Linked DNA regions of Mus musculus. The protein of the gene in region 6 interacts with the protein of the main gene of each other region in a biochemical or structural test. Links are inferred from orthologs where the notes say so. Each region holds a gene or a part of one and is shown on either strand. Other genes may lie near its edges. The genes, in order: Src, Sla2, Sh2d2a, Shc1, Plcg2, Erbb2 and Sh2b3.

Region 1 (4,153 bases), on a different chromosome or scaffold from region 6:
TGCTCTCCAGCTCCCTCCCAAGTTTCTCCCTCACCCTCACCCCGACCCTGCACTGCACTTCCTGATCCTTGGGCTCTCAGTGCCTCTGGCTTTCTGGGTTGAACTCCTACTAAACCTAGCTTCTTCCTCTTCTTCTTCCTTCTCCTCTTCCTCCTCCTCCTTCTGAGACCTGATCAGGGCTCCCACAGAATATGCAAGTCCAGACTGCACATCTATTCCATTAGCTGTGTACCTTGCCCTCCAGCTTAATCTGGTTCATAGAGAGGATACCCACCTGCTCCCTATGTAAAAACTGGAGGCCAAGATCCTCCTCCAGGCTCCAGTGGGCCCTCATAGGGAGCAGTCCTATTGATAGCGGCCCCATTGGATCATCCTATCTCATAGCTCTCCCTTTGGTTCCCCACAACAATTATACACCTCCCCTCACCTCAGGGCCTTTGCACATACACACCTCTCTCTGCCTGGCACACCTTCCCCTAGCTTCATGCCCAGACGCCCCCTAAATTCCTCCTTCAAGAGTCCTCTGCCTTTATCACAGCCACGAGTATATATTCATTTATCTGGCCACTTGCTTGATGCATGGCCTATCCCCCACACTCCAGTTTCTAGGAGTCAAAGACCTGCTCACAGTTTCCCAGCAAGTCCCCAGGCAGATGACCTTCTGAATAGAAAGGAAGAGCACTGACCCAGCTGCATTCTTGGCTGGCCCGCCACTGCTTCACTCAGCTTAAGCCCCTCCTCCAGGAAGCTGTCTGCTCCTCCTACCACAAAGCTGCTCAACAAAGTTCCCAGGCCCTGGTGCATAGTATATGCTCAATGCGCGATCAAAGTCAGCAGATGGACAGCAAGAACAAAGATCATTTAACCATGTCCTTCCGAGATTCCTGGGGGGCTAGGGGAGCGAGACACACCCTATCCTCACCCCCACCCTCAGATGACAATCAGGGAAGAAGCCCCAAACAGGAGCCAGCCTATGTGCTGGAGGCTGGTGGGGGAGAGGGGGTTCGGGAAAAGGACACAGGAGATAGAGGAAGGTGGGGTGGGAGAGATTAGGGTTGCCCTAAGGCTGGGATGAACAAGGATGAACAAGAGACTAGGGGGAGGGGACGGAGCAGGGAGCATGGCACTCCTAGCACTCATTAGTGTGTGCCCCATGATGTAGACAGGAGGTCAGCTGAGAGGTGACACACTGTAAATCACTTCCCTTGTGGAAAGGTTACCTCACCCAGACACACCTCATCTCCAGTAGGGCCTTATGTCTCTGCCAGGTGCGAGAGATATGGAGGGAAACTTCCAACAATGCCTTGTGCCTGATCTAAAACTACACACCCTTCACCGTCACGGTGGGTTAAAGGGCAGCCAGACAGCTCCTCAGGAAGGCTATATCCTCCTCTGCAGCTGCAGACCAGGCTAACCCCGGGAGGCGTTCACTGGATATCAGCAGCTCTGGTTATAACTGCTCCATTTTCTTTCCTGTGGTTCTGCAGCTAGCACCAGGGCCTTGAACAAGCTGAGCCTGTGCTCTACCACCGAGCTACCTCACAAGCCAACTGATCGATCCTCCCTGAGAGGACTGAGGCCAAAGGGAACCCTTTGTAGCACGGAGTTACCCGCTTCTGCAGGCAGCTGTGCCACAGGTACCTCAACCATCCTGTGCGAGCGAGCTCCAGGATGGGACTCATTTATTGAGCACGCCCCCCCATATATGCCAAGTCCTGGGCTGCGGAAGTGCAGGGAATAGTCACTGATGTGAATAGTCCAAGGGGCGGTCCCTGGCTCAGGTCACTCAGGAAAACAAGAAACCTAGACACCTGGACTCCATAAGGTTGGAAGAGTCCCCTGCCCCCGCCCCTGCCCCCGCCCCCGTGTCCACCTTGGTAACTAAATCTGACCTATACCCAGATGACCCCAACACCACTTGCCTTCACTGGGCAGTCTGTAAAGCCGGGAAGACCTCAGGGTCCCAGAAGCCTCACACACCTCTGTCCACCTTTCTAATCGGAATGCCTCAAAGGTTTATGGGATGGATACCCAGAGTGAGTCCCCTCTGTTCACCCCACCCTTCAACCAGCCCACCTACCACTGAGGAGGGCCTTGGCTCAGAGAGCTAACTAAGGCACAAGTGGTGGTGGGTCGTAGTAGGGGGCACAAACTCACCTCCAGTACCTGCCTGGGTGGGCAAGCGGACCTGGTGGCGGTAGTGAAACCCCAAAACTTTTGCCAACTTCTGAGTCCATCGGTCGCTGGGCCTGCGCAGGGGCGAGGCTGGGGGTTGGGGGGGATGGGGGGCGAGGACAGGGTGGCCCTGTTTCTTCCAGACCAGCAGCACTAGGCCCTACCCAAGGCCCCAGTGAGACCTAAGGAGGTAGTGTGGCCCTCCAGGTGCCCCTTCCCCAACGCCCACCCCACCCCCACCGCCCACTCCGGGCCGGGGGCGCCAGGCCCAGCAGCCGCGATCGCGGGCGGCGCCGATCGGCCGGGTTTTCAAATGTGGCCTAACCGAGCCAGGGGACTCTGCGGCCGAGGGTCCCCGCGTTCCGGTGCCCCCCGCACCCCGCTCGTCCTCCCCCGCGCATCCCAACAAAAGGCCGCGGCGGGCAGCTCGCGGGCCGCGGCGTAGAGTGGGCAGGGCGGGAGCCCGCAGCAGGGCGCGGGGCCGGCGGGGCGGGGGCGCTCACCTGCACGGCGACCGTGAGCTCCGGACGCGCCCGGGCGGACCCCAGCGGGGCGCGCGGCGCTGGCGGGCAGCGGCCTGGCCGCTCCGGCGGGGCGGCCGGTTGGATTCCGGGCCCGGAGAGACAGACCGAGAGAAAGGGAGGAGGCGGCGGCGGTGGCGGCGGCGGCGGCGAGGGGGAGGGAGCGCGCGGGAGGAGGGGCCGCGGCCGCCGCGAGCCGGAGAAAGGAGGAAGCGCGGACCCGGGCCCCGCCGGCGACCCGGGAGACCTGCTGTGCGAGCCGGGCCCGCGCCTCCCGCACCCAGCCCCCCACCCCCCGCAGCTCCGCCCGCGGGGGCGCCCCCCCAACCCCACGCCACGCGCCGGGCTCGGCCTCCCGGGACCACGTTAGCGTTCAACCCTAGCTACCTGAGCTACGCACCGGTGGCTAGCACTGTCCGGAAACTGAGGCACTGGCCACACCAGCCTTGACCCTGAGTGTCTCTAATCCTCAGAGACTGGAACCGAAGGGACAGGGAAATAGTGAGGGGGAGAGGCAGTATTGTTAAAATGTATCAAAAGGCAAAACAGTGGCTCACTATGTGGCCAAGGCTGGCCTTGAACTTGCGGAGCCTCCAGCCTCTGCCAATGGAGGGCAGGAACTTGCGGGGCCCAGCTCAATTAGGCCAAGCCTAAATTCACTTTCAATGCATAAGGAGACCGTGTGCATCTGCTGGGCAGTGTGCTTGTTGCCAGCCACTGAGGATGACAGAACCAACCGGACAGGAAGTAGAGAAGAAAAATGGGGCAAGCGGGATGAGATGTGGCTTCAGGCTGGTCTCAAAGACCACCAGGTTCTAGCGCTGCCCGTTGGGGGTCCAGGAGCATCCTTGACTCCTCCCGTTCACTCTGGAAAGATGGGCCTGACCATCTATCAACCATCTCCATGTTCCTTCCTTGAAAGTGCTTCCATCTCACAGACAGGGAAACTGAGGTTCATGTGGCACAGGCCTGGGCTTCTGGCAAAGATCCCTCCCAAAGGGCAAGTCCCCCATCATCCTAGATTGTGAGAGGCTCCAGCCCCAGGGTACAGCTATGTCTCCCAGGAGACCAGGAAAGGGCAAAGCTTTGAGTCAGACTGATCTGAGGTCACATCTAGGCCAGGTGCCTCAGGGTGTGTTCTGTCCACTAGCTTCCTGTTCCAGCCCCCTCTGTTGTGAAGAAGGAGTGGGCCAGGCTGAAGATCTGAGGGCCTCACTGACAAGAGCAAGTGGGGCCAGGGTAGCCCACTGTGGCCACGGGGACTGCTCAGGGTTTCTCATGAACAGCGGGCAAACTAGCCAGCCACTCCTGTTCGCAGGGCTTGCTTAAAGATTAACGGCAGTTTCCCAGGGCTCCCCTGGGCAGGCTCTGGCTGGAGGAGCAGGTTTCTCCGCCCTCCTCCATGCCTAAGATTTGTCTAATGGCCTTTACTGGCCACTCTGGGCTGAGGGAGGGGA
Region 2 (3,571 bases), on a different chromosome or scaffold from region 6:
GCTCTCTTCCCTCCTCCCTCTCCTCCCACAGCAGCAGTAGCAGCCAGACTCTTTCTCTTTTGGCTGGAGTTGGTATTGGCATTTCAGAGAGGGTCCACCACCTGATGTCCTGACTCAGTACTGAGATAGGTGACTGGGCTAGATGTGAGATTTAAACGGTGTCATTTTGTGTTTGACCACCAGGTGGCAAAACGGGGGTATGGGGAGGACCTGGCTGTTTGAACACTGAAGTTGGCTGAAAGGACTTGATGGGAGATCATGGGAAGATCTGGATTGTCAGTCTTCCTCGTGCGTGGGAGTTAGGTGGGGTCTACTGCGGTAAAGCCATCCAGTGTTCCTCTTGTCAATGCTTTCTGAGCCATCCTACCATCTGAGATGTGTTTGCATTCTGGAAAAGACTTGTGAGCGTTCCCAATATTTTTTCTCTCCATGGTAGTGATGCTCTCTCTGTCTTTTAGTAGGGCTGAGTAGCTGCTGTACTGGACATTTCTCTCAGGAAGTGACTTATCAGACCTCAGAAGTATTTTATTCTCTGTAGAGGCCAGCCCTGCTTTGAACTGCACTGCACATGGACTAGAAGTAGTAGGTAGGGGTGAGGCCTTAGGAGATACATGACTTATCAGAAAGCCCAGGTGAGGCCCCGAGTGTCTGTGCCCCACCCCAGCCGTCTCTGTTCTCCCAGCCTTGCCTCCTGGAGCTTTGTCAGGGTCAGCGGAGTTGGAGCTCTCGGTGCCACAGTCTTGGTTCCCTTTCTCTTTGTGCTCCAGGGCTAAGCATCATCCAAGGGGTCCTCAGCCAGGCTGATGTAGGAACTGAGGGACTCTCGGAGCCCCTCACTGAGCAGAGATGCCTCCCCACTCGCAGGTGCTTCCAGAAACAGGAGGCTGCTGTGGATGGGGGACAGCGGGTGAAGGAGTCACTTCCCCTGTGCTTGCCACACAGTTCATTGCCTCAGAATAGCACCATGTCACTGACAAACTCAGGCTCCTCATTTCTTACTGATCTTACTCCATCTTACCTCCCTATGCAGGACTGTGATCACCCACCCAGCCTAACCTACATCCTACCTGGCTCCCCTGAGGTCCATGCCTCCCTTTCCCAACTCTGCCTTGTCCTCTACACTGCTTCAGCCTGGCTGCACTCTAGAAGTGTCCCTGAATGTGACAGCCCCATTGTGGGTTGTGAGTCTATTTCTTATTCTGCCTTTATGTTTCAAATATTCTTACCGGTCCAGCTTTTTCCAATTTAGTGATGATGTTGGCACAGTCACAGGTGGAGGTGTATCTTTGCCAGGTAGTGGCCCAAGCTTCTGCAGGACACACGGCTCCCTGAGGGGACAGCAGATGCCATCTGCTAGCTCTGTGGAAGAGATCCAAACCTGTGATATGGTACCTGCCCCAGGAGTTTTCTGTGCTTGGCATATTGAGGGCATGGTTGCCAAAAAGTAATAGGAAGTGAAGTCTCAAGTGATGGGTCTCATAAAGGCAGACAGGTGGTAAAGGTCAACTGGACAAAGTTATGGGGTACTTAATTCTGTGTAAAACTGAGAAGCAAGTAGGGAGAGGTCAGCCTGGGACCCATCGTACCTACTGTATAGAACCACCTTGTAGGAAACCCCAAGTCAACTTTCTCAAGAGGTGTCCCCCTACACACACACACACACACACACATACTTTTTTTCTTTCCTCAAGACAGGTTTTCTCTCTAGCCCTGGCTGTCCTGGAACTCACTCTGTAGGCCAGACTAGCCTGGAACTCAGATCTGCCTGCCTCCACCCGCTGTGTGCTGGGATTAAAGGTGTGCACCACCACTGCCAATAAGGTTTTCCCCTTTGTCTCCTTGACATCAGAAATGCTAGCTAAGGATTGCATTGCACCCAGGAAGAGCACAGTCTGGTTCCTGTGGGAAGAACTCAGCTTCTGTGCACATTAATTTAGAATCACCGTTGCCTGTGAGATTCTGGCCAGGCTCATGGTTGGCCTGTAGTTCTTTGTCATCATGGGATGGAGGCAGCTCCCACTCACATCTTAGCACAAGGGCTGCATAAGGATCGATAGCAGAAGTGCCTCCTCTGTATAGCTCCAGCAGGTCAAGCCTCTAAGGGCACAACTGACTATCTCCTAGGCCCCTCATCCAGTCTGCAGTGGAGGCAAAATGTAAGCCATACATACCAGAGTAATGCTCCACCAAGGCGTGGAGTGAGGGGAAGGTGAGGCGAGGTGAGATGTACAGCCAGCCATTGTCAAGACGCTGTATCCTGTAGTGTCTGATCCGGTCCCAAGATGCAGGGCGGCTGAGTCGGACGGACAGGGAATAGCAGCCTAAGGAGGAAAGGGTCCAGGGTGGGTCCAGGTAGAGACTCAGCCCTGCCGAGGTTGGAAGAAGGAACAAACAATAGCCACAGCCCAGTCTTCAGGGGGATGCTGGGGTCAAAGGCAGGATAAAGACTATTAGTTGTAATAGGATTCTGTGGTCCTCAGGATGGGTGAGCATTAAATATCGGCTGTATGGATAAAGACTCAGGTGGCACAGGGTTGGAATGAGAAAGTAAGTAGATGTCACCATGGCCAGAGAGAAAGTCACTCTGGAAAGTTTGGTGTTAACGGTGCTCTTCTTCATAGATACCATGCTCACAAACAGCCTGTTTGGGCCACTAGTACAGTAAAGTTCAGAGGTTGGTACCTCAGCGGTAAAGTGCTGGCCTAGTGTGCACACTACTATGTGTTAGGAAATCCCCACGACCTCACACAAAGACCAGAGCATCCCAATGACTGATCTGAGAACCAGCACTCTATGTAACATCACACAGGATACTAGAACTCAGTGTCAGTTTAGGGTTTGGGCCCTTGAACCACAGAACAAAAATGCAGACTGTCACTTAGTATCTGAAATAGGTCTGACTCTCCAGGACTCCCGACTCCAGCACACACTGGGGTTTCTTGCTCTACTTCACTACAAACGTGCCCTTGTCCAGTGAGGAGCCTCACTGTTTCAGATTCCAGATCCCAAGACACATTCCTGGTCATTTAAACCGGTGTGCAGGCATCCGTGTTATAAGCTTCTCCAAGGCGATTCCAACGTAACAGCTAAGAACTAGTTCTCAGCGTAAGTTCCCCAGGCCAGCAGTGTGAGCGAGGAGCATGCTCAACCCCAGCCTAGGACCCTGTCAGCAAGCTGGGTGTGCAGTATTCCTGTAGGTAATTCTGTTGCATCCCTGGATAGAAACCCTCAGGTCTATAAGCAATGAACGAAAGTGATCTCTTTACCCAGGCTAGGTACATGTGCCCTTCAGCTTAAGCTATGCTGTGGAAAGGGAGCCGGGAGGAGAGGGCAGGCTCATGCTTGGGAGACAGCCATCCTAAAAGGTCAGCAAGGGAAGGGTTTTTATATGTGTAGGCTAGCCAGCCCGAGGGATCCTCCTGTCCCATGTCCTCAGGACTAAGATTACAAGCATACATCACCATGCCAGGCCTTTCACATCTGTGCTGGGGGTTGAACTCAGGACCACATGCTTGCAAAGCAGCTACTTCTCAGACTGAGGCATCCTCTGGCCCCCTCTGCCTTTAATTAT
Region 3 (3,234 bases), on a different chromosome or scaffold from region 6:
TACTACAAGTAGCAATGGCAGACAATCTAGTGGTGGGATGATCATGTGTGGTGGCGGTGGTATATGCTACTTAGCTTAAGAGAAGCTCTCAGGGAACCTCCACTTTCAAAAAGTGCAGACACTTCAGAACCATTGTGTGTTGAGCCAGAGGTTAAACACCGAAGAAATAAACAGTGACAAATATACCTATATCTCCTGGCCTTCGTGCGGCATCTATTCTAGGACAAGGCAGGTGCCATAAGTGATACAGAGAACACACTGATAACAGAAAGGATGCATGCTAGGAAGAAAGCCAAGCAGAGATGGAGAGCAGCAGGATAGGCAGTATGTCACACAGGGACAGTAGAGAAGGTGGGGGACATCTGAATAGAGGTCTGGATGGTTGTAAGAGGGAGCAGTGCAGACGGCTGGAGGGAAAGCTTTTGGGTTGAAAGTTACAGCAGGGGCAAAGACTCTGAGATGGGAGGATGTTTGATGTGTCTGAAGACTGAGCAGTGAGGAAGCAGCCTCACTGGATGATTGATGGATGGAGAGGTCAGAAGAGAGGTCAGAAGGGTGACGTGACTTAAGGGGCCCCTGTGGCTCTCACAAGGCTCTAAGGTTTTATTCTGAATAAGATTTGATTACACTGGGGAGTTAGAAGCAACAATCTCACCTGACAGGGTGGTGAGGGCCTGACCAGGCGGCAGGAGATGAAGATGGCTACAATGTTTCAGAAGGTGATGGGCGGCCAGGGCCAAACAAGGCCACTAGAGATGAAGACAGCTGCTATGTCAGTGTTTCAGCCAGCTGTTGATGGTTAGCACAGGGAGGTTGAAGGAGTAAGAGAGGGCCTGCTGGCTGTTTAGATTGTAGAGCAGGGTCTTTGCAGAACAAATGAAGAATGGAAAGACGTCTAGATGAAGGCTAGAGAAGGAGCCTGTCTGAGCCAGGTGTGGAAACATTTGTAGGCTGAGGTGTCAAGTCGGAAGCTGGGGGCTCAGAAGTAGCTGGAGGGGCTTGTCCAGCTCCAGACTGCAAGTTGCCAGATCCCCAGGAGAAAAGACCCCTGGAATCCACAGGACTGGATCCAGCCGGGAACAAAGGTGAGAACAGGAACTAGGCCCAACACAATCAAGCTTGAAGGTCTGAATCCTTCTAGAGCAGGAAGCCCTGGCTTGGGGTAGAAAGACTGGGTAAAGATGCTGCAGAATGGCGAAAGTGGGAACCAGTGGGGAGATGTGTGCACCTGATCGGTGGTGCCGGCTGCGTGAAGATGTGAGCCACGGGCAGTGGGCAAAGCACAGCTTGAGTTGGTTGGATGGAGAAGGGTGAGGTATTGAAGCTGACCTTCCTGCTGTTTGGGCAGCAGGGTGAGCCTAGTGCTTTCTCAAGGAGAGATGAAGTACAGGGTGGACACGGAAGAAAGAATTCTCATTTGGATCTAGGAAGCCTTGAGTAGATCGTAGGTCTCTGGAAGTGGAGGGCGCATGGAGCCCTTCGTGAAGCAGGCCTTAATGCTGAGCTAAAAACATAACTACTGTGGGGTAGCTAGAAGGGAAGGTTCGTCTCTCCTGTGGTGGTCTCTGCCCCTGAACATGTAGCTTCTGTCTTCATATATTAAGCTTCTTGAGCCTGAAGAAAAAAGACCCAGCAATCATAGAGGTTGGTCCCCAGACCGATTGCTTTGAAGGCAAGGACTCCTAAAGCCTAAAGCCTCCTAGTTTTGCAACCATAAGTACAAATGAGACTGTCTTGGCCCTGAATTCCAGATAGTTGGTTGTTAGACAAACGGGTGAAAAGAGTTTGTTTCTGTCCACAGTCCCCAGGCCTCCTCCATGCCTCCACTCCACCTCTCTCACAGAGAGCCCAGCCCACAGCACACTTCTTCCCCAGTCTCTTCCATCCTCTCCGACCTAATTGCTGTTCTGGGATCACCTGATGCCCCCACCCCGCCCCAACCCTTCAGGCCTCCTTTTTTTCCTGCAGACAGCTGAGCCTGCTGGACTTTCCCTAAGGGCTGATTCAGACTCTGGAAGCAAAAGACAGGACCCAGACACCCAGCTCAGCCTGCTCCTCCAACAGGGCCAGGCCCAGGCCTCAGGACACACAGAGAAAGTATGGGCCTCCCAACAGAAGGCGGTACTATATTGGTCAACTCAACCTGTGGGATGGGGGGTGTTGGGGTGTCAGGGCCTGGAGAAGGGGACACAGGACAGAGGAAGAAGCCAGGCTGTCATAGGTAGAGGCTCAGGCTGAGATGGGCCTGGGCTTAGACCCTGTCTCCACGGTTCTCATTAATTTTCTTCCCTGGTCTTGCCTTCTCCCCCTAGACATCCCAGGCATCCAGACCCAGGCCGCCCATCCCCGCCAAGCCTCAGCTTCCTCCTGAAGTCTATACAAGTCCTGCTTCACGACTGCATCAGGCCCCACCCATTAACCCCATCTACCAGGAGCCTGATGAACCCATAGCCTTCTATGCCATGGGGCGGGGCAGCCCTGGGGACGCTCCTAGTAATATCTATGCTGAGGTGGAAGGGCCATCGGGAACGGCGCCCATTGGACACCCCATCCTCCGAAAGTGCTGGTCCAGGCCTATCTCAAGAGGCCAGGTAAGGGAGGTACAGGGAAAGATAAGCTCAAGGAGTCGAGCAGAAAGAGGGAGCCCCTCCTGAATATCGGGCAAGGTGAAGGTCAGCAGGCTGAAGCGAGATGGAGTGTTCCACGCTGCCGAAAACCTTTGCCCAGCTCCAGGCCTAAGGCTCTTCCTGGACATTCACGTGGACTCAGCTTTGTCAAGCCCTACCTGCCCCTACTTCAGGTTTCCTTCAACCACTCTCCATCCCAGGCTGCCTCTCATTGGTCAGGCCTTCCTCACACACATGTGACACTGACCCAGCTCCCTGGAGAGCGTCACTGCCAGTGGGCTCAGAGGAGGAGGCTGCCACACTGTGTGCTCACCCTCACAGTTTCCCCACAGAGTTTCAGTCATGTCTGAATGTGGTATTACTATTAAAGGAGTCAGACTCTTTCCCTTGTACCTGCGTCAGGTCCTACTTCAGGCTTCCTCTCTGCTGCCACCAAAGGTCCCTGCTTGGCCCTCACCAGCCCAGCTCACCTGTACCCTACCAGCCTTCTTAACCCTGGGTCCATCCAGGCTCTGCCAGGGTTCCAAAGCCACTCCAACATCAATTGAACCAACCTCACTCGCACCCTGTGTGGGCGCGCGCATGAGCGCGCGCGCGCACACACACA
Region 4 (3,985 bases), on a different chromosome or scaffold from region 6:
TTTTGGTTTTTCAAGGATTTCTCTGCATGGCCCTGGCTGTCCTGGAACTCAAGAGAGTCACCTGTCCCGTGAGTGCTGGGATCAGTGTGTGCCACCACACTCAGCCTCTAGCAAGCATCTTTCTAGCCCCATGTCTCTTCTTCCCCACCCCAGTCTTTCCTCTGGTCCCCAACTCACCGGATCCCCACCGGACGCGAAAGAGATAGATTGCATGTGATGGTTGGCAATGATCTGATGAGGGTGGGGATGGAGAAGGAGGGGATGGTAAATGTCAGGCAGCCTCAGGGCTTGTGGCCCACCCCAGTGCAGAACCTTGGAGCCCCAGGCTCATTCTCTTGGTCTTTTACCCAGTGTTCTCCTGATTTCTTTCTTCTTTTGGTGGGGTGAGGTGCAAGGTCTCACTGTGTAGCCCTGACTGGAACTCAAAGGCATTCACCTGCCTCGGCCTCCTGAGTGCTGGGATAAGGGTGTCACTATCCTTAACCTTTCTAATTTCTTCCTCCTCTACTGTCCAGTTGTTCCTGAGAGCTCCGAGCTTTTGGTCTCTGATTCCCATTTGATGCTCCCATAACTATCTCTGGTCCCTTTCAGCAGCCCTACCTACCTGTTTGCAGTCGGCTGCCATGAGGTTAAGGCTGCTGGTAGACACAGTGAGAGTGATTGGCATTCCAGCAAACTTCAGGTTACTCCTCCCCAGGATGGAGCTGAGTGGGCGGCTACAAGGCTAAGAAAGGGCCCAGAGTCTCAGAATCTGAGCTTTCCCAGCCTGAGGAAACACCTGTCCCATCCGCTATGTCCTGAAGTGCCTTCCCCCTGCCTCCAATACCCAGCCCCAACCACCACATATACCTTTCTCCTCCTTGTCGCCCCTTTGGCACCAGGCACAGCTTCACACACCAAACTGATGGCCTCCCTGGAGAAACAGGAGTACTCAGACCCACCATGGGCTGCCCCCCTGGCTGGGGCCGCCACAGAGCTGGGGGAAGGGAAGACCAGGCCAGACTCCCAGAGCACTCCAGGCTCTTTGTCGTGGTGGATTGAATTAAGGGCCTTTAATATTTGATGACACCGAGGGGCCGCTTCCTGGCTGATTGGGTTAGGGCTTCAATGGCTATAGCCCCACCTCTTCCCAGCCACCGAATGTTCCATTCCCTTCCCCAAAGCATCAGCAACCTCCTACCCCTGCCTTTTCTAGCTCATCTTCCCGCAATCTCCAAGGCTGGATAGAAAGGGAAGGTGTGCTCCAGACCAGAGCTGGCTCTTTTTAGTCAGACTTACTTCTGTGACTTTCAATTCTCTCACCGCCCATGAGAAGTCACCATCAGAAACACCATCAAATGCCCAACTTCCTCCTCCCCCTTACTGAGACTTCTGTAACTTCAGTAATCTTAAGACTACAGCAATATACCCGCCTTCCCACTAACCTGGTGACCTGAGTCCGGGTATTGAAGTCAAGGGCTCGCATTGACTGTAAGACCTCCACACAGCCCATGTACTGTAGGGGAAGGAGGGAAGAATGGATCAGCTGACCCCATCCCCCACCCCACACTTGCAAGCCCTTTGCAGAAGGTTCTAGGGCTTTGCCTTATATAGTCCTTACTTCCTAAGGAAAGTAGATTGAAGTAGCCTTCCTACTGCCTGGGGCTTCCACTTCATAGGTGTATGGCAAAGGGGAAAAAGGGAAGAAAGACCACAAAAGAGGAACTTCGTGCACCATGGGGGGACTGCGAGAGGAGTAGCAAACATTGAGTGGGATGGAGTGACATCTCTGGAAAAGGGAGGAGTCTAGAGGGAATAATCAAGAAGTCATTTTCATTCAACTTTTACAGAAAGCCTCAGATGTGCTTGGGCACTGTGTGAACTGGGGGGGTGGGGGGGGGGGTTGGGACCAAAGGAGGAAAGGCAGAAGATTCACAGGCTAAATTAAGGGCAGAGACCTGAAGAAGGAATGCACCAGGTCTAAGAACTGAGAGAATGGCACAGATGTTGCTGGGGGAAGAGCAGGGAGTCCCTGGCAAATCTGGAGTGAGCAGAGGAACTGGACGGGAGGGAGTGGGAGGGGGGTATGCACTCACCCGAACCAAGTAGGAAACCCCAGGTCCCATGACTTTGTCGTTGGGATGCAGCCAGCCTCGTGTGGGCTTATTGACAAAGCTCCCGTGTCTGGTCCACTCCTCGCCCCCCAGCTGGCCCCCTTCTACCCGAGTCCTGCGCCCGCCGCCTCCACTCAGCTTGTTCATGTCCTGGAGGAGGGGCAAGAGGCCTGAGTCCCGAAGGGCTGCCCCTGCACTCCCTTCCCCATCTTCAGCAGCCTTTCCTGGCTCCCCTTTAGGCCCCAGGCGCCCCCCAGCAGGATTGGCCAGCTTCAGGTTGCTCATCCGGGGAAAGAAGGAACACAGGGTAGTCGGACTATCGTCCCCCGGCAGAGGAGGCAGAATGGGTCCCAGGGATGAAGCTGATGGGGAAGGTAGCTCCTCCGGAGGGGTAGACCCCGAAGCCCCCTCCTCCAGCGATGACAGAGACTCATTCCGAAGTGGGTTGTACTTCGGCTTGGGGGGTAGAAGATCCATGGCTGGGGTGAGAAGAGGGGCTGCTGCCCAGCCCGGCCCCCCTGCCAATTCAGGCAAGGGGGCCAGGCAGGGGGCATCCCCAGGCCCTTAGCCTAGTCTGACCTCGGCAGCCCGGTGATAACAGATGACCTGGGGAGGCGAAGGACAAGTGACCTCTGCTCTCCCAACTCAGACCTAGACAGTTTGAGAGCACATCCTTGCACAGCCCAGCTAGGAAACCTCTACTGGCTGAGGAGTACAGGCTGGACCCAGAGCTTACTGGCTCCTCCCCAGAGGCGGGGAACTAAGGAGAGAGACCAATCCCCAGGACAGTGCTGACTCACAGGCTCAGAGGGGCTGAGACACCTCCCCACACAATTTGTGCAAGCCAGGCCACTCTCCCAGCCCAATACAAACAACTGTCTGGGAAGGAGGAGGTGCCCGGCGCGAAAAAAAGATGGAAAAATAAGCAAAAGAGAAAAAAGAAAGGAAGGAGTTAAGAGAAACTCTGGACCAATCCAAACCGACGTGGGCAAGCCAAAGAGAGCAGGAAGACAGGAAGGGATAGAGAGGAAACAGAAGCTGCTGGGCGGGGAGGGGAAGGGGGGAGATGTCCCCCAGAGTTTAGCATTTCCTTTCCAGTCCTGGCTGAAGACGTGACTAGCCCCCTAGCCCAGACAGCCCAGACCACTCCCATCCCCACCATACAGTGAGTGAGGTGGTAGCTCCAGGGAACCTGGGCCATTAGCATCCTCCACCACAACAGCTGTGGACCACAGTAGAGAACCAGGGAGAGAAAGTAAGTCCCAGTGGATATAGTGCAAAGCCAAGAGGAAAGACAAGCTAAAATGGGAATAAAGGCCAATTTATTGGTGGTACATCAGGGGGCTACCAGACAAGAGCTAGAGCAAGCCTGTTTCTACAAGTCACCAAGGACCAACAGACTTGGGGGGTGGGAGTAGGGCTTCCCCAGAGGGTACAGAGACATGCAGCCACCCCTCGGACCTACAGATATATTGTTACTCCTTACAGGCAGTAAACCACCTGACAGTGTACCTCAGGCTAGTGGAGGAGTTGGCCTTGGAGGTAGGGGAAAGAAACAGAACTGGTGCCTACAAGCCACAAAGGGATAATAGGGTCATAAACAAATCTGTGTTAATAAAGACAGGAAGGAGAAAGGGATATTAGAAGTTGGAGTCTGGCCATAAGTGCATAATAATACCAAACCCATATTTCTTTGCCCACAGTTTCCTGCCACAGCTCTGCTTAAGGCCATTCAGGAACTTAAAGAAAGTGACCAATCAAAATAGCTCCAGAATAAACTATCGCTTTATTCCCTTAAAAAAAAAAAAAAAAAAGTAGCTGGGTGTGGTGGTGCACCCTTTTAATCCCAGCAGAGGCAGGTGGATTTCTGAGTTCGAGGCCAGCCTGGTCTA
Region 5 (3,500 bases), on a different chromosome or scaffold from region 6:
AGAATATTTAACACTATATAGTAACTTTTAAAAATTAGTGAAATAAGAACATGCTGCTAGGTCAATTGGCTGAAAGGACCCAGAAAGGCTTACAAAGCAGGTGACAGGCTGGGGACGTAGCTCAGTGGCAAAGCTCTTACCTAACATGCATATGGCCCTGGGGTCAGTTTCCAGTACTGAGGAAAATGTCAGTGAATGAGGAAAAGTTACTAGTGAGGTTGCATGATCTGATCTGCTGCTGACTGTCAATGCAGCAGGAAATCTGTATCCGCTCTTATCCGCTCCCAGACCACCCACTTAAAGAGTCCTGAACAATACCAAGAATCCAGAAGTAGCTGTTTTAAGAGCAGATCTTATAAAAAAAAATCATTATAAATGTGAAAACTGGCGCCGGGCTGCCCCAGTGAATGCTGGGGTGATGTCCCATAGGTCCTCAGAGTCAATAGGGCTGAGACCTTGGGGGAGACTAATGCCAGCCTGGCTCTCTAGAAATGGACGCGCCACTACTGTGCCATTGCTGACGCCAAGCTGTCCTTCGGTGATGACATTGAACAGGCTGTGGAGGAGGAGCCGGTCCAGGTGGGTGGAGACCTGCTTGCCTTCAGCCTTCTGGTCTTGTCCTTGGAGAATCCCCACCTGGAGACTTACTGTGTGGCTTCTCATACCTGGGCTGGCTTGAGCATCCTTAGCTCTAGGGCGATATTGCTTTGGGTAGCAAAGCTTAACTAGCTCTTCCTGATTGGCTAGCTAGCCTAGGGCTTAACCAGTAAGATTTGAGGCTCTTTCCTGCTTCCAATAGGGTCTGACTGGCCTTTGTCCAATGCCAGCAATCCCCGGAGGGTGTAGGTGGGAGGTGTGATGGAGGCGCCCCATGCCCTGCGCTGCATGTTCCCTCTAGCTGCTGCCCATCTTTGGCCTTTTTCTTGAGTAGAGTCCAGGCCTAGTTCAGGCTTCTGGTACTGGGACTCCTGAACCCCTGCCTTAGGACTCCTGGAAACAGCCATCAATGAGTTGTCAGGAGAGGGCAGAGCGAGCTGTAATAAGCCCTTTCGGATGCTTGTGGCTCAGGACACTCCCCCCACGGAGCTGCATTTTGGGGAGAAATGGTTCCACAAGAAGGTGGAGAGTAGGACCAGTGCGGAGAAGCTGCTGCAAGAGTACTGTGCTGAGACCGGGGCCAAGGACGGCACCTTCCTGGTGCGGGAGAGCGAGACCTTCCCCAATGACTACACACTCTCCTTCTGGTAACGCCCCCTTCCTCGGAGGCTGGTGGGTGGGAGGTGGTGTGGTCAGGCTGTGTCCTGCCTGGCTCTGATGGGACATCCCTGTCTCTATTCCCAACAGGCGGTCTGGCCGGGTGCAGCACTGCCGGATCCGGTCTACTATGGAGAATGGGGTCATGAAGTACTACCTGACCGACAACCTCACGTTCAACAGCATCTACGCCCTCATCCAGCACTACCGTGAGGCACACCTGCGCTGCGCGGAGTTCGAGCTGCGGCTCACAGACCCGGTGCCCAACCCCAACCCACACGAGTCCAAGCCGTAGGTTCCTAGGATTGGGTGGGTGACCCATGGAGGTGTGACCACTATGGGGTTCTCATTTCCAGGACCCCGTTCTCTTTGACAATGTGGGTTCTTAGAAGTCTATGATAACTATTCCCACTTGTCAGACTTTGTCCCATCCTCTCTCTCTCTTCTCTCTTGCTTGTTCTTTAATAATTTTATTTGTGCGCTCATGCGTGAGCAAGCATGTGTGGTATGTACACGCGCGTACAGGGCCAACTGAAGCCAGAAGAGGGAGTTGCATCCCCTAGGGCTAGAGTTAAAGACAGATGTGGGCTGTCTGCCATGGATCCTGGGAACTGGTTAAGAGCACTCACTCTTTTTTTTTTTCATTTCAGAGATATTTATCTATTTATCTATCTATCTATCTATCTATCTATCTATCTATCTATCTATCTATCTATCTATCTATCTATCTATTGTGGCTGGCCTTGTGTAGGTACTAGGCCACATGTCCTGGAAAATTAGGTCACATGGCTGCTTCCATCTTGGTGAGGTCAGCAGCTAAGATGGCTGCCATCACCATGGCAGCTTCTATCTTGGTGAGATGTTTTCTCGAAAATCCTGGGCTCATCCTCCCAGTCCTGTATGAACTTGGGTGTCCTGGCTGTAATCCCAGGACTCAGTAGATAGAAACAGAAGGATCATACCATCTGGACCATTGCCACTCCTGTTCAAAACGAGACACTTGTTATGGTGGCTCCTGGAGCTCCCATGACCAGCTTCATTCTTTTCCTTCCTCCGAGTTTCTGAATCTCCACTGGTCTGCCATGTGCCTCCGGAATCCTCTGCTTCGTCCTCCTCACAGCCTCACAGCATCGCTTTCCTGTTTGCCACCATTCACTGTGATTTGGGGGTGGGGGTGACTCTTTTTTTTTTTTTAAGCTAAAAAAAATTATGAGTATGAGCGGTTTTGCCTGCATGCATATATGTGCACGGTGTGTATATGATGCCCACAGAGGCCAGAAGAGGGTGTCAGATCCTCTGGAACCGGAATTGCAGGCACTTTGGAGCCACCATGTGGGCCCTTGGATCATAAGCGCCATTAGTGCTCTAACCACTAAGCTATCTCTCCAGTTCTCAATGTTTTGTTTTCAACCCAGGGTTTCTCTGTGTAGCCCTGGCTATCTGGAACTCACTCTGTAGACCAGGCTGGCTTTAGATTCTGAGATCCACCTGCCTCTGCCTCCTGAGGGGAGTGCTGGGATTAAAGGTGTGTGCAGCCCAGCTTTTTTTGCGTCCTTCCTTCCTTTCCTTCCAGCTTCCACTTCTCTCTCCCCTCCATGATTTCTTCCCCCTTTCTTCTCTTTCAGTGCCCTGAGGTCTGGGGCTTTGATCTCAGAGACCGGTTTGGGTCCGCAGTGTCTGTGCTTGTCAAGGCTCCCTCTGTGGTCAAAGGAATCACAGTATAGGGCTCACGATAGCAATCACGGCAGTACGTAGTACTCACGCTAGTCCGTAGTACTCAGCCAGTACTCACACTAGCACTCACGATCTTTACTTACGATTAGCAATCACAAGGACGAGTTCCTTTCTCCTTTCCCTCTTTTATCCGCGAAAGAGAGAGTTCCAGGCCATCCCTGGCAAAGAGGTCAACACATTCCAGAAATACCAAGATAATCGTTAAGCAGGTGGATTTAACATTTTTGCTTTTGGAGGAAGCTGAATAATTTACAGTGACATTATTATTAGTGTTGTTATTATAATAATGATTATTATTAACATTTCCTGTTTTCATACCAGTTGCCTTTCCAAACTTGTCATTTTGTATCTTTAGTAACCAAAATCTTTCTGAGCCTCACCCGTGTTCCCTGCCCCAGATGTTTCCCTGCGACACTGCTGTAGCTCTCCAGCCTTTGGGGCTGGGCAGGTGGGCAGAGAAGAGACTCCCCTGAGTTTCACCTTGACCTCCTCATACTCCTGGGGTCTTGATA
Region 6 (3,500 bases):
GCAGGAAAAGCGGGTAGAGGCAGTGAGGGAGGGAAGTCCAGAGGAGAAAGGAAGCAAAGGAAGGAAGCAGGAAGAAAAAGGGAGGCTGAGAGGGACGCAGGGAGGAGCGAATGGCGGGTGGGAGGAATATGTCGCAGAGCCCAAGGACAGTTGCACAGGAAGGGGGGGACCCAAAAAGTAAAGAGGCCTCAGGAGGTGGAGGCCCTGCCTACGGGCAGGGAGATGAACAAGGACAGGGAAGGTGGGATGGGTGGCTGTCTGGGTCAGGTGGGCTGTCCCATGGACATGGCTTACAGGCCCGGGAACGATTGGTGTCCATGTCGACAGGAGCCAGCTGGTTATTCTTACGGAGGACATCCTTCCACAAAACCATGTCCTGGTAGCAGAGCTGAGGGTTCCCACGGATCAAAACTCCTCCCTTCAAGATCTCTGTGGGGAAGACAGATAGTCAGCCCCTTCCTGACCACTCTTGGGGGCTCCTGACTTCCCTGTGAGTGCCAGCCACACAGGAGATTAACAAGGGACTAGGAAGAGGGGATGGGGCAGTGGGGGCGGTGGGCGGTGTTCACGTGGCTGGGAGCTCCCCACTGGCCTTTCGCCTCACCCTGTGCTCACTGTGCGGAGGCAAACAGAGAGGCTCAGTGGCAGAACAAGCACCCATCCTGCCCCAGATCTAAGATCAATCCCCAGCACAAAAACAACAAAAATGTCTCTGAAGTCTGAAATCCCACTTCACCACCGACTGGCTGCGTGACCCTGCCTGCCTCGGATTGCTCCTCTGTGGAGTGAGGCTAACACTGGAGAAAGCTGGTGGTGGCATGCCGGGGATTCCAGAACTAGAGAGCTGAGGCAGGAGGACTGCTTTGGAATCAAGGTCTACCTGGGCTAGGTAGTGAGATCACTGTCTCAAAAACCACAAAACCAGAAAAACCAAAATAAACGTAACAAAAAAGAAACACTGGAAGGCTTAGCAGCAGGGCTTCCACGTCTGTAGCGTGACCGGAGTGGGGTCCAGTACGCAAAGCACCGGGTACCCTAGTTGGGACACTGTCAGCTCGGGGCTGTCACATACAATTCCACAGGTTATTCACCACATACTCTGACATGGCCAAAATGGAGAGAACAAAATATCCTGACCTCTACTAATGAAAGCTGCATCTTCCTGAAGAGGAAGGGATCAAGCCCCAGGGCCTTGTCCATGCTAACCAAGCACTCTGACACCGAGCCACTGCGTAACCTTCTTTTCCTTATTGTCACTGGGGTGAAAAGAGAGGGAGGCTCAGCCTGCCTGCATGGAGCTTGAGAGAACCATACTTTTAATCCTCACGGAGCCTCTCCACAGCCAGAACAGCTTAGTCGGCAACCAAGAACCAGGAAACCCTTGCAATGACAGGAAAGGCACCTGTGAGACTTCGAAGCTGCAGCTCCCGCAGCCCTTCTGGGGTTCTGCCTGGGGCGGCGGTGGTGACGTTGTCCAAAGGGTCTCGGTTGTCTAGCACAGCCAGGGCATACTTGTCCTCAAAGAGCTGAGTCCCTCTCACGATGCGCAACCTCTGCAGTGGGACGTGTTTCACTCGGTTGTGAGCGATGAGCATGTATCCCTGGACTTCCTGGATGTCCTGGTGGGAAGGGCAGGGGACGGGCAGTGAGGCGCGGCTGGGCTGGCGAAGCGCCTGTGCCTCACAAAGCCTGAGGGTAACAGGGTTGGGGCTGTGTCCTGCATGGTCCCACTGGACACTGAGCAGTCTTGACCCCTTAGATCCAAGATGGAGCCCTAGGCTACTCCTCACTGGCCTCAACAGATTCTTGTCTGTTAGATCAGGACTGATAAGCGGTGCCCCACCTCTCTGCACATCTCAGTATCGAGGGCTTGTACAAGATGGTATCTGTGATTTAACAGACCCACATCCATTCCTTGCAGCTTCACTCCAGGGCCTGTGGATATGATCCACAACGGTAGGCCAGGATGTCTGCTAGTCCAATATAGAGAGAAACTGAGGCCTGGAGAAGCTAAGGGTCTAGATCACATCCAAAAGGCTGGACCTGGAACTTAAGAGCCCTAAAGGAATAGTGTTGGGGACAGCTGGACCACGGCCAGTCACTGCAGAGGGAGTCAACTGGTTTTTAAGTAGCTATCAGAAAGGCACTCCTGATTGAGGAACCACAAGAGAGCGAATACAGGAATGTAGTTGCCCCTTCCTCACACACCTCGACTCAGGAGGCTCGGCAGGACCAGGTCTCACCTGCAGGAATGAGAGGCTGGCATTGGCGGGCAGGTAGGTAAGCTCCAAATTGCCCTGCACCACCTGACAGCCCTGGTAGAGGTGGCGAAGCATGTCCAGGTGGGTCTCAGGACTGGCAGGGAGTCGCAACTTCATGTCGGTACCGGTACACACTGATGGAAGGGAGGAAGTGGGTCAGGACACTGGCCACGACCCTCTCCAATCTAGTCACCTCCTCCACACTCACTCCCTGGAGTCCTGTCACCTCAGACAGGGAGAAAGCATGGCTGACAGCCTTTCCTCCCACACCTCTGCATCCACAGGGCCTAGAGTAGAATGCTCTTCTGTTTGGGAAAGAGTTGGCAAGCTGGAGAGAGGCCCCCTGTAGCAGGGTCACCTTGGGCAGCCAGAGGGACCCTAATGTGTCAGCCCTTTAGGGCTTACCACCCATACTGGGTTTTAGCATGCTGCAAAGAAAGCCTCCCTTTGTCCCAGAACTGAGGGTGAAAAATCCCCAAAGAGAGGCGATGATGAATCAGGCCCCTCTGGATACCCCCATCTGTCTCCCACGCACACAGGCTCAGGGCATTCTCCTCCTGCCATCGCAACACACCCACATGTCAACTTCCCTGATCAAGACAACTGTCCCCAGAGTGCCCCCCAAAACAGGGGCAAACAGGATTGACTGGAGTCATTGCTGGGATAGGAGGGCAGGCAGGGGCCTGGTCATCATGGGAGAGCTCTTTGGAAAAGCATCCACACGGAGAAGAAAAGCCTAGGATATCAGCTAGGAGGCCTGGCTGCAGATCCTAAACAGGGCGAGACACTCTGCAGGTTCCTACACTGGCTCTCTCACCCTCCTCCTGGGGCAAAACTCCAGAAGCAGCTGGCAGAAGGTATGCCACAAGACTCCTGCCACAAGGGCACACTACTCTGTGTACCTGCCCGGTGCCAACTATCAGCCAAAGGGGGTCCCCAAGGTGCACTGCCGTTCCGAGCCTGCCTGACCCTCAGGCTGGGGTACCATTCCTCCCACTAAGTCCTCACATAGGAGAAGCTGCCCCTCAGCTAGGGGGCTCTAGGTAGCAGCTGGCACCAAGCCTGCCAGCAGGGGAGAGATTAAAGTGCCCAGTTGAACTTGTTTTTCTGCTCCGGTGAGAAGATGAATCACCTTGTGCGTCTTGCCCAGGAGGTTGGGGGGTTGGGGGAGAAGGCGGGTGGAGGTTGTCTACACAGGTGCCCGAGCTGCTGAGAGAGAGACTTCCTATTGGTTACCGC
Region 7 (4,104 bases), on a different chromosome or scaffold from region 6:
GACAGGGTTGTGTGGGAGGAAAAATCTTTCAGCCATCTGCTCAGCTGCTGGGGTTTCCGGCTGGCCAGGGCGGGGCAGGCCATCAGGTCCCTTAGGGACTTGTCTCTTGTCCCAATGAGAATGGTACTGGGCTGGAGAGCTCAATGCAGGAGGTGGGGGCGGGGGCGTCACTGAGATCCCTAGATCACTGACCAAGAGACACAGGTTGTCCAGATCATGGGGCGCAAGCAGGTGGTGTCTAACAGTGCCCAAGGGCATGCAACCAGGCCTGAGGTGTACCCGGTCCCTGAAGGACCTCAAGCCCCCGGAAGCTGGAAGCTGGGGTGCAAGGCTCCTGGGTCCAACTAGGTATGACTCAGCTAGTGACCCCCACTGAGTCATTTCCCCTAAGCGGTGTGCCAGCCTCAGTTTCCTCGGGGAGGGTGGGTGGCCGGGAACAGGCCTGGCAGGAAGGAGCAGCCCCTCCAGAAACTCCAGATGGAAGCTGCTTCCTGCTCTGCCCAACCAGAGATGCTCAACACCCAAGGGGCCCTGGGGACCGTTTTCCCAGGAAACCTGGCAATTAAGGGCCAGCCACTCCTGGATTAATAGCAATGGATTAATAGCAATAGCTTAAATTTATTGAGCACTAACATGCCAATACTGCATGCCTCTCCCCGACTCTGTCCTTCAGCACCTCCACTTCAGACTTCCAAGAACACCTGTAACTCTGAGACAGCACAACCCAAGCCTAAGATCTCAGAGTCAGGCCAGTTACTGCCTACCTGCTTCAAATGTCTTCTCCTTGTTGGGCTCCTACATAGTGCACAACCACCTAGAGAGGCACAAGACTTGGCTGACACTGGGCAGGTCCCAAGAGATGTCAGGTAACTTGCCCAGGGCCTCACCCCTGAAGCTAGCAGAGTCTGGATTAGTCTCCACACAAGTGCTGCTCCAGGGAGAAATGAGGACTTGAAAGGAAAGACCTCTCGTTTTAGTTTTAACAGTACTATCTGTCCCATCTCCTCGTGCCAGCAGTTAAAACCCTTCCCGCTCTTGATGACTTTTTCATTGCCTCACAGAAGTGCCCACCCAAAGAGTCACAGCAATGGGACATTCAGCAGCTGACTAGCCTCACAATGTGGGCTGGACCCCCAGAGACCTGCTCTGGAAAGGGTGTGATACAGGCCCAGGCAGCCGGAAGGGGCTCCCAAGCACCTTCAGCTCTATCGCAGAAGTGGGAGAAACCAGATGGTGGCCCAACTAGCCTAGACAGCCTGAGGCACACAAGCTGATGGCACAGCCCAGCTACTCAAAGGAAAGGACCGTCACTTCTCTAAGAACATTTTGAACGATGAGGACCAGGCACTGGGTGACATTTGGTGCCAGAGAGTCAGGAAGGAAGAGGAGCAGCAAATGACCTCAACAAAACAGATAACACCCTTGTCATGACTGCCTGCCCTCCTGATCAAGCCATCCTGTGCTCTGGTGGCCCTCACAAGTTAGGTGTCAACTGAGGGAACCCAGGCCAGGAAGGGGTTTGTCATCTGACCCTGCCCAGGGTCCTTCAGAGTTCCCTGCCCACAGACTCGGGAAACCCCAGAGCAGCTATGCTCAGGAGAGAGCCGAGGACGGTCCCAGGGCCAGGGTCAATAAAACTGGACAGTCTGAAAACCAACGGCCTGTAACTGAGGTCTTCTCCCAACGGCCTGTAACTGAGCCCTTCTCCCAGCCGGACGCAGGTGCCTTCCACACAGCATTCATTAAAACTCCACCTCATTGTAACTGCACCACAAATCTCTTCTCACTCACTGAACAGCGGGGAAACTGAGGTCGCGACCCTCATCTTGGAGAGCAGAGGAGAAAGAACACAAGTTCTGCCTCTAGGACCCTCGGTTTCCTCTCTTGTCACTGCCCAGCCCTTGAGATCCCCAAACCACAGCTGCTGCCGCTGCTGCGGGCCAGCCCCTTCCCAGCTGACCACCCATTGGGACTGCACAAGTTCCAGAATGTATTCACCCCTCCTGGCTCAGATGGCGTTTCCTCCCAGAGGAGGCCTGGGGAACAAGGTTCAGAAAGTGTCCTAAGAGCATAAAACTCTTATAACCTCAACTTCCCCCAGCGGGCCCTGGCCTGTCATGGCCTGTCCCACCCCCTTCCCCCATCTCTGGCTGATTTCACCTTTAGGACTCCGCATATCATCCTTGGTTGATCACCGGGGCACTAGTGACACACGTGTCCCCCCCTCCCACCCTCACCGCCAGCACACCCCCCCCCCCGGCAGGGGCCCAAGCACGCTGTGTGCCGGGACAGCTCTCGGTTCCTCCCGCGGCGCCCCGCCAGGCTCCTCTCCGGAGGCCCCAGCTGAAAGCACTGACCTCCGCGCCCACATCACTGCGGTCTGGGATTGGGGAAGAGAAACAGAATGAGGAAACGCCAGAAAACAGAAGCGGGACCCGGGGACGGCCGCCCGGCCCAGTTCCTCCAACACGCTCGGCGGGCCGCGCTTACCGCGCAAGCTGCGGGTCGGGGCCCGGCCGGCCCATGGCGTCGCACGGCCTCTCGGCGCTCAGGCAGGAAACCCCGGCTCGGAAAACGGCCAGCGCCTCATTTCCGCCGCCAGCTCCTGACAGCAGCCGGGGGACGCGGCCTCGGGCCGTCCCCAGGACGCTGCTGCTGCTGCCGCCGCCGATGTGGACCCCGTGTGGCCCGTGACAGTCTGGGCTGGAGAGCGGCCAGGCGGAGGCGACGGCCCGAGCCCATGCCGCCCCACGCCGTTATGTAAAGAGGAACCAGCCGCGAGCCGCGCGCGGCGGCGGAGGGCGGCCTGGGGGCGTGGCCACAGAGAGCCACGCCCCGGGGCCGCCTGCGGAGGCCGGGGGCGGAGCCTATCCCGGCCCCGCCCTCCTCTCGCGCCTCCGCCCGCTGCCCGGTGGGAGGTAGCATAGCGACAAGCTCCGCCCCCATAAGGCGCGCTCTCTGCACCCAAGTTGCGTCGCGCCCCCTAAAGAAGGGAAAAAAAATAATAATAAAATAAAGAATCTCGAAGGGGAGGAGCGTGCTCGGTCCCGCCCCTCTCGCGCTGGCCAGTCACCGCGTGCCTCGGCAAGGCGGGGCCCCTAGAAGGGGTGGGGCGGGGCTAGGCGCGCGATGGGCGTGGCTGCCCCGACCTTCGGGACCTCCTAGGGGCGCGCCCCTGCGGACTCCCTCCAAGCCCAACCTTATCTGAGCTTGCCCGGCCGGGTCTAGCAACTGCGACCGCGGTTTTCATCACCTCCAGGGGAAGGGGCCAGCCCCACCCTGGCCCCACTATCCATGACTCCGCCGAGCCGTCCTGCCTCCGCGGCGCCATCCATTTGAAGTCCGCTCCCCTCCTAAGGTCCTCGGAGTCCCGGAACGGGCCGAGTAGGCTGTTCTCTACCTGGCCGCCCGGCCGCATTCTCTAGCTTGATGAAACTTTCTCCAAGAGCTCCTTCGCATCCCAGGCAGCCGAGCCCTTTGAACGTCCACGCCTGCGCGCCCCTTAGCCCTTTACCTTTTCTCTATCGCCACATTGGCTAACAGTGGGGTGCCCCTGTTCTGAAGTGGAGTCACTCACTGCACGCCAGTCTTCCCCGCGACTCTACGGAGGGAGGGGAAAGAGGAATGCCTGTCCCCTCCCCCTCCCCCAACAGGAAGCAGGCCGCCCACGCCCCCAGCTTGGAGGGGCCACTGCAAGCCTTCCCAGACGACAGGCTCCCACGAGCCGCTGGCTCCCTGGAGCCTTCCCCTTGCTGCGTGGGACCAAATATTTGACCCCCTCCAACTCAGTTTTTTCATCTATGAAATGGAAATAACACGTGTCTCCAGCCCACTCAGGGACTGGAAGAAGTGAGTTGCTCACATTAGAGCAGCCTAACCAACCGGGCTGAATTCAGTCCCCGGGCCTGCTGTTGGAGCCCGAAGAAGGGACTCCCCCGTAGGTGGGGATTTCCACTACAATCGGACGGCAGCAAGCTGGAGCCTGGTAGCAAAATGGCTTGGAAGAAGCCCCCACCCACCCACCCCCAAAAAACGAGCCAAGGCAATGTCTTAGGCACTATAAGGTGTTTGTGGACATCAGTTAGTGATTCCCTCGTGGGGGCG

Evidence for each region.
Region 1: the proteins of Erbb2 (region 6) and Src form a complex in vitro, tested with the Homo sapiens proteins (3 studies listed by BioGRID, with this or other methods). The link is inferred for Mus musculus from reciprocal best matches to the Homo sapiens genes ERBB2 and SRC.
Region 2: the proteins of Erbb2 (region 6) and Sla2 form a complex in vitro, tested with the Homo sapiens proteins (2 studies listed by BioGRID and IntAct, with this or other methods). The link is inferred for Mus musculus from reciprocal best matches to the Homo sapiens genes ERBB2 and SLA2.
Region 3: the proteins of Erbb2 (region 6) and Sh2d2a form a complex in vitro, tested with the Homo sapiens proteins (2 studies listed by BioGRID and IntAct, with this or other methods). The link is inferred for Mus musculus from reciprocal best matches to the Homo sapiens genes ERBB2 and SH2D2A.
Region 4: the proteins of Erbb2 (region 6) and Shc1 form a complex in vitro, tested with the Homo sapiens proteins (2 studies listed by BioGRID and IntAct, with this or other methods). The link is inferred for Mus musculus from reciprocal best matches to the Homo sapiens genes ERBB2 and SHC1.
Region 5: the proteins of Erbb2 (region 6) and Plcg2 form a complex in vitro, tested with the Homo sapiens proteins (2 studies listed by BioGRID and IntAct, with this or other methods). The link is inferred for Mus musculus from reciprocal best matches to the Homo sapiens genes ERBB2 and PLCG2.
Region 7: the proteins of Erbb2 (region 6) and Sh2b3 form a complex in vitro, tested with the Homo sapiens proteins (2 studies listed by BioGRID and IntAct, with this or other methods). The link is inferred for Mus musculus from reciprocal best matches to the Homo sapiens genes ERBB2 and SH2B3.

Annotation. Positions count from the first base shown.
Region 1 is NC_000068.7:157,422,940-157,427,092, reverse strand, and holds the start of Src (neuronal proto-oncogene tyrosine-protein kinase Src), read right to left. Parts: upstream 2,801-4,153; 5' UTR 2,679-2,800; intron 2,266-2,678; exon of another isoform or gene 2,158-2,265; intron 1-2,157. UniProt on the Homo sapiens protein: Non-receptor protein tyrosine kinase which is activated following engagement of many different classes of cellular receptors including immune response receptors, integrins and other adhesion receptors, receptor protein tyrosine kinases, G protein-coupled receptors as well as cytokine receptors.
Region 2 is NC_000068.7:156,873,651-156,877,221, forward strand, and holds the end of Sla2 (src-like-adapter 2), read right to left. Parts: intron 2,367-3,571; coding exon of another isoform or gene 2,322-2,366; coding exon 2,172-2,321; intron 1,360-2,171; coding exon 1,227-1,359; intron 888-1,226; coding exon 770-887; 3' UTR 501-769; downstream 1-500. UniProt on the Homo sapiens protein: Adapter protein, which negatively regulates T-cell receptor (TCR) signaling. Inhibits T-cell antigen-receptor induced activation of nuclear factor of activated T-cells.
Region 3 is NC_000069.6:87,849,755-87,852,988, forward strand, and holds part of Sh2d2a (SH2 domain-containing protein 2A), read left to right. Parts: intron 1-1,968; coding exon 1,969-2,121; intron 2,122-2,312; coding exon 2,313-2,654; 3' UTR 2,655-3,234. UniProt on the Homo sapiens protein: Could be a T-cell-specific adapter protein involved in the control of T-cell activation. May play a role in the CD4-p56-LCK-dependent signal transduction pathway. Could also play an important role in normal and pathological angiogenesis.
Region 4 is NC_000069.6:89,420,436-89,424,420, reverse strand, and holds the start of Shc1 (SHC-transforming protein 1), read right to left. Parts: upstream 2,801-3,985; 5' UTR 2,571-2,800; coding exon 2,076-2,570; intron 1,693-2,075; exon of another isoform or gene 1,601-1,692; intron 1,496-1,600; coding exon 1,425-1,495; intron 914-1,424; coding exon 850-913; intron 725-849; coding exon 605-724; intron 232-604; coding exon 178-231; intron 1-177. UniProt on the Homo sapiens protein: Signaling adapter that couples activated growth factor receptors to signaling pathways. Participates in a signaling cascade initiated by activated KIT and KITLG/SCF.
Region 5 is NC_000074.6:117,588,775-117,592,274, forward strand, and holds part of Plcg2 (1-phosphatidylinositol 4,5-bisphosphate phosphodiesterase gamma-2), read left to right. Parts: intron 1-489; coding exon 490-579; intron 580-1,068; coding exon 1,069-1,244; intron 1,245-1,344; coding exon 1,345-1,545; intron 1,546-3,500. UniProt on the Homo sapiens protein: The production of the second messenger molecules diacylglycerol (DAG) and inositol 1,4,5-trisphosphate (IP3) is mediated by activated phosphatidylinositol-specific phospholipase C enzymes. It is a crucial enzyme in transmembrane signaling.
Region 6 is NC_000077.6:98,418,984-98,422,483, reverse strand, and holds part of Erbb2 (receptor tyrosine-protein kinase erbB-2 precursor), read right to left. Parts: intron 2,396-3,500; coding exon 2,244-2,395; intron 1,620-2,243; coding exon 1,403-1,619; intron 430-1,402; coding exon 295-429; intron 1-294. UniProt on the Homo sapiens protein: Protein tyrosine kinase that is part of several cell surface receptor complexes, but that apparently needs a coreceptor for ligand binding. Essential component of a neuregulin-receptor complex, although neuregulins do not interact with it alone.
Region 7 is NC_000071.6:121,834,060-121,838,163, forward strand, and holds the start of Sh2b3 (SH2B adapter protein 3), read right to left. Parts: upstream 2,801-4,104; 5' UTR 2,491-2,800; exon of another isoform or gene 2,358-2,490; intron 2,201-2,357; exon of another isoform or gene 2,161-2,200; intron 2,046-2,160; exon of another isoform or gene 765-2,045; intron 1-764. UniProt on the Homo sapiens protein: Links T-cell receptor activation signal to phospholipase C-gamma-1, GRB2 and phosphatidylinositol 3-kinase.